Linked DNA regions of Arabidopsis thaliana. The protein of the gene in region 2 interacts with the protein of the main gene of each other region in a pairwise test. Each region holds a gene or a part of one and is shown on either strand. Other genes may lie near its edges.

The links. The genes of interacting proteins can lie anywhere in the genome.
Region 1: the proteins of CSN5B (region 2) and AT2G47880 interact in binary tests that used the Arabidopsis thaliana proteins (3 or more experiments, as listed by UniProt).

Annotation. Positions count from the first base shown.
Region 1 is NC_003071.7:19,602,879-19,606,408, forward strand, and holds AT2G47880 (Glutaredoxin family protein), read left to right. Parts: upstream 1-2,151; 5' UTR 2,152-2,245; coding exon 2,246-2,554; 3' UTR 2,555-2,826; downstream 2,827-3,530. Other genes in the region: AT2G47870 (Thioredoxin superfamily protein), read left to right, coding at 461-772; AT2G47885 (uncharacterized protein), read right to left, coding at 2,353-2,490. UniProt on the Arabidopsis thaliana protein: Has a glutathione-disulfide oxidoreductase activity in the presence of NADPH and glutathione reductase. Reduces low molecular weight disulfides and proteins.
Region 2 is NC_003070.9:26,850,534-26,855,309, reverse strand, and holds CSN5B (COP9-signalosome 5B), read right to left. Parts: upstream 2,905-4,776; 5' UTR 2,751-2,904; coding exon 2,361-2,750; intron 2,251-2,360; coding exon 1,969-2,250; intron 1,898-1,968; coding exon 1,750-1,897; intron 1,646-1,749; coding exon 1,560-1,645; intron 1,318-1,559; coding exon 1,240-1,317; intron 1,148-1,239; coding exon 1,055-1,147; 3' UTR 891-1,054; downstream 1-890. Other genes in the region: AT1G71235 (uncharacterized protein), read right to left, coding at 88-287, 505-751; EBS1 (EMS-MUTAGENIZED BRI1 SUPPRESSOR 1), read right to left, coding at 3,580-3,774, 3,849-4,001, 4,178-4,292, 4,365-4,408, 4,488-4,628, 4,715-4,776. UniProt on the Arabidopsis thaliana protein: Probable protease subunit of the COP9 signalosome complex (CSN), a complex involved in various cellular and developmental processes such as photomorphogenesis and auxin and jasmonate responses.

The sequences.
Region 1 (3,530 bases), on a different chromosome or scaffold from region 2:
ACTATATAATTACTACTTTATTAATCTGTAACAAAAACAAAAAGCCTATGTTTTTTTTTTATTAGATGACATTTTTAAACACCACACCAGTCAACACCAGATTTTTGCTTTTGACCTTTGTATATTATTATCATTTTAAATTATACGTTTGAATAACTAACTTACAAAAAAAAAAACAATAAATTTCAGCTTTTTGTCCATAAATTTATTCCAAAGAAAAACTACTATATATTGTGATGTATAAACAAATGTCAAGGGTATGTGATGCTGCTGCCTGTCGCAGACCGAAAGCGACACAACTTACCTTTTTTGATAACATACCAAACTATATAATTGATCGCGTTCATTTTCCGAAAATATATGCCGAATGCGGCGGGGCTATAAATAATAGTTTGATCGATCGGCTTGTTTATCATCCATACTCAAGGCCTCGAATTAACACTTCTTTGTCACATCGTCGATGGAACGAGTAAGAGATTTGGCATCGGAGAAGGCGGCTGTGATATTCACGAAGAGCTCGTGTTGCATGTGTCATAGCATCAAGACTCTCTTCTACGAACTCGGGGCGAGTCCTGCCATCCATGAGCTTGACAAGGACCCGCAAGGCCCTGACATGGAACGGGCCCTCTTCCGGGTATTCGGGTCTAACCCTGCTGTCCCTGCGGTTTTCGTAGGAGGAAGGTACGTCGGCTCAGCTAAAGACGTCATCTCCTTCCACGTGGATGGCTCCCTCAAGCAGATGTTAAAGGCCTCTAACGCCATATGGTTGTGACTACATATCATCACGCTTCTTACTATCATTTATTCTACACACACTAGTTCATATTATGTCATCTCGTGAATAATACATACATATATTTATCTAAGCTTGCATGAATATTGAATTATACTTTTAGTAACCATATATATAGAAGATTATGCATGCTCCGATGCTCGTGGAGATTAATTATCAGTTGATACGGAGAAACTAGACTGTAATCAATCATCACGTAAAGATTTCTGTTAATATCGGAATATCATCTGGATTTAGCATAATATCTTCCGATTATAGAAAAAAATGTACGTAGTATAATACCTAACCGATATACAAATGAATATCGAACGTAACTATGCTATAACTAGTATATATATGATCGTTTTTGAATCAAACATAAAAGAGAATCTCGCTCATGAAAAGATTACTACACCCACAAAACAATCGAAAAGTAAGCCAAGAATGACGCAGCAGAGTTAACATATGCGTGTGATTCACGCGTGCGTCCGGCAAGAAAGACATTTCGAGAGAAGTGAATCAAACATTAGTGTAAGTGTGAAAGAAGAATATATAAAAAAGAAAGATGGAATAATTTTCTTTGGCAAGTTGGTGTTGGCGGAATCACCATGTACGATGCATATTGTTGATACATATATATACATGTTTATCACCGAAAGGTCCAATCTTTTTCATTTATCCTCACTTTGCGCAATGACTCAATCAAAGGAGATATGTTGAGAGAATCCGTTAGATTATAAATTGACAAGCCTCTTTTCTTTTTCTAGGGGTATTAATCATGCTATATTTCTTGTCACATTGATTTGAATATCAGCAGTTTAAGAAAATCGCTTAGCCAAAAGTTATTAAGAAATCGTCTGATTTCTATCATTGTTGTAATCAATTTGATAAGCTAGCTTCAACTTTCATATCTATGTTAGTGTTTCAAAATTACTATCATATGCATTCCGTTCATACTTATTTCATCAATTAGTCCATGCATGCATGTGCTTATTATTTAGATTAATTATATTTATGTCACTGGCAATGCGTATACTATTATTAACCCACAAAAAGGTGAAACTGATTACAATTTTTCGAATCGTATTCGTAAATTACTAATCAACATGTTATGACGATCAAAACAACTGCAGCGTTACCGTAGAAATAAAAATAAATTGAATAACTTAGAAGTGAGAGTAATGTTTGCAACTTGTGCAGTCAAACAGAATATAAATAAGAAGAAAAATTCTCAAATAGGCATCTGATATTTTATCTTTCCTTTTTGATATTTTCTTAGAAATAAACTACATTTTAAATGGTCTTTTCTTTCTAATTAGCAAGAAAAAAACACACTCGAAAGACTCACTCCCTTCCTATAAATAGGCGAGCAAATGTCAAGCTTTTTACATACTCAAAACAAAACAAAACATACATCAAAACGCTAAAGTTTAAACCCCTAGCCATCATCAGATCTTCAGACTTCTGAGGATCATGGACAAAGTGATGAGAATGTCTTCAGAGAAAGGAGTGGTGATCTTCACGAAGAGCTCATGTTGTCTCTGCTACGCCGTTCAAATCCTGTTCCGTGACCTTAGGGTTCAACCAACCATCCACGAGATCGACAACGACCCGGACTGCCGTGAGATCGAGAAGGCTCTTCTCCGGCTCGGCTGTTCCACGGCGGTTCCAGCTGTCTTTGTCGGAGGCAAGCTTGTTGGCTCCACCAATGAAGTCATGTCCCTTCACCTTAGTGGCTCTCTTGTCCCATTGATCAAACCCTATCAGTCCATCCTTTACTAGCAAAATTAAACCAACTCAATATATAATATCTAATTATTAGCTAGTGAGAATAAACACAGTTACAGCTAGAGTGTGAGCTAGCTAGATATTCAGTGAGGACTTCGTCTGAATTAATGTTTATCGTTTGTATGTTCTATTGTTTAGCTTCTCTCGTGTTTCAGTTTAGTTAATCAACTGGTGTATGTTGATGTATGACTCTCTGTTTATGCTAATGAAAATAGTATTGAAACTTTTACATTTTTTCCCACACAATTAGTAACGATCTCTTGTGTATGTTGAGTAATTTAGGGCTTTCCATATAATAAGGCAAGAAACCGTTTATACTTGTCTGTTTTTAACATGGTATCAGAAGGAGGCTACACACAAACCATTTTCTTATTTAGAAATATTCACATACACTGACAGTAGCTAGAATAAAAATGTGAATGGCCAACACATGCATGAACTCGTCTTCTAATTATCAAGATGTAATGTATAAGTTGGCTTCATCATTATTAGTTAGACCTATTGATAGTTAACATTATATCGGGCGATATACAGATTTAGCCTTTGTGATGTTGTGTTTAGAGCGTACTTTTGAATCAAGGATAAATCAGTGCCCATTAGAGTATATATAAATCGAATGTGAAAAATATTAGATCAGAATAGACTTAATTAGTCTCCACCATACAAATTTGGTAAGAAGAAAAACAATGATAAGATACCAGTGGCCTAATGCAACTAAAGCAGTTTGAGGAAGAGGATGGAAGATCTTTCGCGGTCCAAGTATATCATGGCTACACAAAATCACTGCTCTTTTTGCGTTCCTTTATTCTTGAGTATCTTCACGTTTAATTTACTATTATTTTCTAATGAAAAATTGTACACCTTTTTATATATATGAACTCTTTGTTTTTTCGTTAGTTGCTCGTGTAGTAAATTAAACATATATGCTCATAATCAATAAAAACATACAATGTTAGAAGAAAAAAATACA
Region 2 (4,776 bases):
TTCCAATTTAATTCATTCCCATTTGCCTACAAATTTGTGTCACACAACAGAAAATAAAAGGTAAACATCAAATTAAGGTCCATAATCTTATTTAGAGGAATACTCGGAAACATGTCCATATGAAGATCTTTTGTCAGTTCTCTTGCTCTCAGAACAAGGTGGAGTTTTCCTCTTATTCGAATGCGAATCATCATCAACATCATCATCAAAAAGGCTGAGATCCTCCACCCCAAGAAGCAAGGGTTTGCGATATTCCATAGTGAAAAAGGCTACAGAGTCACTTTTCACTGTAAACCTATATAGCTCCCATGTTGAACCATTGTTCATAGCAAAACGTGGTATAAATTTATCACGTACATAGTTCCTTCGATGCCGTTCTTTAACCAGTTTCCAAACCCCTTGGTCGGGCACGAACAGCGCGAGAAACAGCCATATGCTATGTTTCTCGCTACATGTCAAATTTGTAGGAAACATATCCGTGCGGAGCTATAGACAATAACTGACTGTTTTCTTGAAGGTTTGGTATCCCCGGACTTCCACGAAGCTCCGGATAACTAAGGCTTTCTAAGATTCTCCGCAATACTACGTCTTCAAGTGTATAAGTTTGCCATGTTGTGTGAAGTGCGTTCTTGATAAGCTTGTTGAAGATGGTCAGGTTGGCAGTACATAGCTCCTTGTGGGCGTCGTCGTCGACAGTCCCATAAGGAACACTTTTCATCAACAAACAAAGACAGAGAAAGATGATTGCCATTGTTAGCCATGTTTTAGTACCACCTATTCACGGACAACGTGAGTGCAGAGAAGGAAAGAGAGAGGGGATAGAGTTGGAAAAGATCACTAGGTTTCTGATTTCCATAAATACAATTTTTGTTTAAGGGCTTAAGATTATTCCTTTAACCCCGACGAATCGAATGGGCTTAAAAACATTTCTTTAACCAAAATCTTCTTCTGTATTATTCTCATTAGCATTATAATTCTTTACACAACAGAAAATAAATGAAAGGACAACAAATGATGGGTCAATCCAAAACTAGAAACCAAAAGAAGAGCAACTTCAATATGTAATCATAGGGTCTGGATCCGACGAGTCAGTGGGAGATTTGTTGTTGGACTGACGCATTGAGTTGAATAATTCATCTTTTATGACCTACAAGTACAACAATGATGGATTTTGAGTCTGTGAAATACACGAACCTTAAGGGAGATATGTCACCATTTCGTTTCAATATTATTACTCACCTGCGACATTAGTCCATGGACCTGTTCCACAGTTATCTTTGCGCTATCCCGAGTTATCTTAGTTAGTTGAGACTCATCCTGAAAGTGATTTAGAACACACGTCAAATGAGATCTTTAACAAGCAACACCCATTAACATTCTCGAAAGTTATATATCTGTACAACCTTCAACAACACTTTCATTTCAACTAAACAGAACACCTCCAGGTCCCAATAACCAAAACATTTGAAGATATATCCTCTTAGTAGCTAGATGTTTACAGAGGCACTTAACTAGCCACCGTAATCGCAATTAAAATTTGATGAACCACTAGGACATACCTCTTTTTTCTTATGAAGGGATGATGGCACAACTCCTCCAAAGCGAGACTGAACCAGATGACTCTCGGCTTGCTCAAGCTTCTCAGCTTCATTGGTAAAATTACGAAAACGATTATATAACACATTACTTGACTGTGACTTGAGAAAAAAAAGTAAGAGTGAATGATTTAGGCCATATCCAAGAGTTTACCTAAGTCTGATATTTGTCCAGCAACATAGTCTCCATTACCCAGCAGTGGAGAAGAAGAAAGAGTGTTCACCCAGTACTTGTTCCATAGTAGATCCAGAAGGTGAGAATCAAGAGATGACTTGAAATAAGTGACATCTAATGAATAGTACTGCCAAAACCAAAAGCCAAACATAAGAATCATGTTGGGACCTTGCACCGAGAAAAATCAAGAAAATGTACCTGTTTGCAGTGAACACCAAAGTCCTCAATCTTATTTAAAGGAATAGTTTGATACTCAGAAACAGGTTCATCTGGAGGCTTATATCCTTTAGAGTATGTTCTGAAAGCACCAATCTCAACCTTACCAGCTGAAACAGTCCTTGTGGGATCAATAACAACAGCTAAAAATGGCTCCTGATGCTGTTGGTTAAGCCTCTGCGTAGAAACATCAATACCGGAGAGCCAGCATCCATATCCAGGGTGAGAGTGATACCATCCAACAACATTCTCCAGCCGCCCCGCCTTATAAAGGTCAAGTTATTATAACCATAATCAATCAAACTGTTCTGACTTATATACAAACTTTCTAAAGAAAAAAATCAAAACTTTGAAGTTTCTTGAATCTCACTTACGAGCTTGTTGGTCTGTGAATACTCAACCATGTACTCATAAGCATCATCCTGAGCATTAACCCTTGTCTCAGTACCTTCCACTGGTAAAGCAAAAGCATCCATAACAATGATAGTATCACCATCGGTCTTACCTTGCATAAGACCCATTATTTCAATTGTACCACCAGAGCGAGCGTGAACCACCATCTTAAGAAGAGCGAGCGCTGAGATCTTGACTCGTTTAAAGTAGTGAGGATCATTCTCCCACGGTTTCTCTTGCTGGAACCTAGTCTGTGAAGTATCGTCGTAGTAGAAGATGTTGTCGGAGGTTGAATCAGGTGAGTCTACTGTTAGAATGCTGTTCTCTAGTTCCCATGTCTTCCTTGCTATCGTCGACGACGAACCCTCCATTCTTTTTCGAATTAGGAATTCAGTTGCAGAAATCTAGGGTTTCATACGGAATCGATGGAGTGTGATCGATCTGTCTGCTGAAGAATTGAAAACTGTGTCAAAAATGTTACTTCGGGGATTGACTTATATATAAGAAGAGAAAAGTGGTGAAAATTAATTCCTCTGGATTCTTCTCTAATTTAGAAATAAAATTTAAAATCCTTTTAGTTTGTTTTTTTTTTTTTTTTTTTGACGGTATTAAAATCTTTTAATTGAATAACACAAAATTTTAAAATCTATTAAACATGATTTACAAAGATATAAACTCCAATAACACTAAATTTTAAAATTGAATTTAAAATCATTAATTAAATAACAGTGTATTAGTGTTGGATTTCTTTCTATTAAAATCCATTAATAAATAACGTCCCCTTGTAAAACCGTAGATTTCTTCCCTCTTCTAAAATAATTTATTGAATTACTTCAGCTTTTCTATCAGAGTGTCAGACCCTTTGCTAAAAGAACACGTATTGCTTTTTATACAGACACTGACACGTCAGTTTTCCGGTTCGGTTTTTTTACTGGTTTGTCGGTTTGGTTTGATTTGAGATTTTGGACGGACGAGTTTACAAATACGTTATGAGTGACTATGTTTGTAATTGATTCAAAATCATATTATACTGATATTCTTATTCTCCTGCAATCTGTTGACTTTATCTTCTGTCTAATTTATGTGAGAGATGTCTAAGAAACTGTAGCTACAAAACTAGAAACCTTATCTAGCAAATGCAAAATAGCCATGATTGTCTAATTTATCTTCTCCTCTTTTGAAACTTCAGGAGCATTGAATTTACAGTTCTGCTTTAGATTCCAAGTCTTGTTCTGTATCTTCAGAGATGTCATTTGATGGAAGAGGATTAGGCTTGTCTGTAGCAGGAGCAGCTACTGGCTCGTTGAGTTCCACATCTTCACCCAAGATTTTTGCTGTGAATTTTCGTGCTTCGAGATCAAGATCGGGCCATTCGGTTACGATTCTTCGGGCACCCTGCAGAAGAACACCGCATTATAACAAACAACGCTTTGTGAGTGTTGTAGATATGAGGAAAGCCATCATTTTACCTGAAGCTTTGGTTCCTTTGTCATGGGATTATTGCAAAGATCGATTGTTCTGGCCTTGGCTTTTGTGGCGTTTCCACACCAGGATTCACACCACAACCACTCTTGGGGAAGTGAAAATATAGGAACAGTATGCTGAGCATAATTAGGAAGATCCTGAAACAAAATAATGACATGCCATCAATATGTTTGAACCTGGAACTCTAAAGATTCAGAGCATGGTGTATGGTAAGAGTCAAATGCAAAAGCCTTTCAAATAAAGTAAAACGATAGTGTGACCACCAAAGAAAGGTTACAGCCCTAAGTATAGAGAACCATATTATACAACTTGCCTGATCTAGGTTGGACAAACTGTTTGGATCCTTGCTAAGCGTCTCATAGAATACTCTTAGATTATCTCCTGCCGCTGTCTCTCGGAACTTAACCAAGTCAACAACGTATAGAGCACTACAGATAGAACAAGGCACATTAAGAATGGGAAAAGCAACAACTTACTGAGGTTCAAGTAGGTTTTTTTACCTGATATGGTATGGCCTACCACGTAAATGTTCTTTCCAGAAACCCTGTTCAAAGCAATTGAGAATGTAAGAGTATGGAAACCAAAACTACCTCTACAAGCAAAACAAAAAGATTAATGTTTACCTGTTTCCAAAATTTATAGCCATCCATTTCCCTGTTGTTGTCACAAAAAGGAGTATACGCGAGAGGTCTTCCTTTAATATCCATATCATACAGTTCTCCCATGTCTGTCCTTATAATTTGATCTGCGTCGACAAATATAACCTACAGAACACATGTCGAATACCTTATAGTGACATCTTCCAAGCATCAAAATCGCAAGAAAGAAATGAAAATATGATCATCTGTACCTTTTCCAATGAGAGAGGAAATATGACATCAAGGAAAAGAATTTTGTAGGCCCAAATAATTC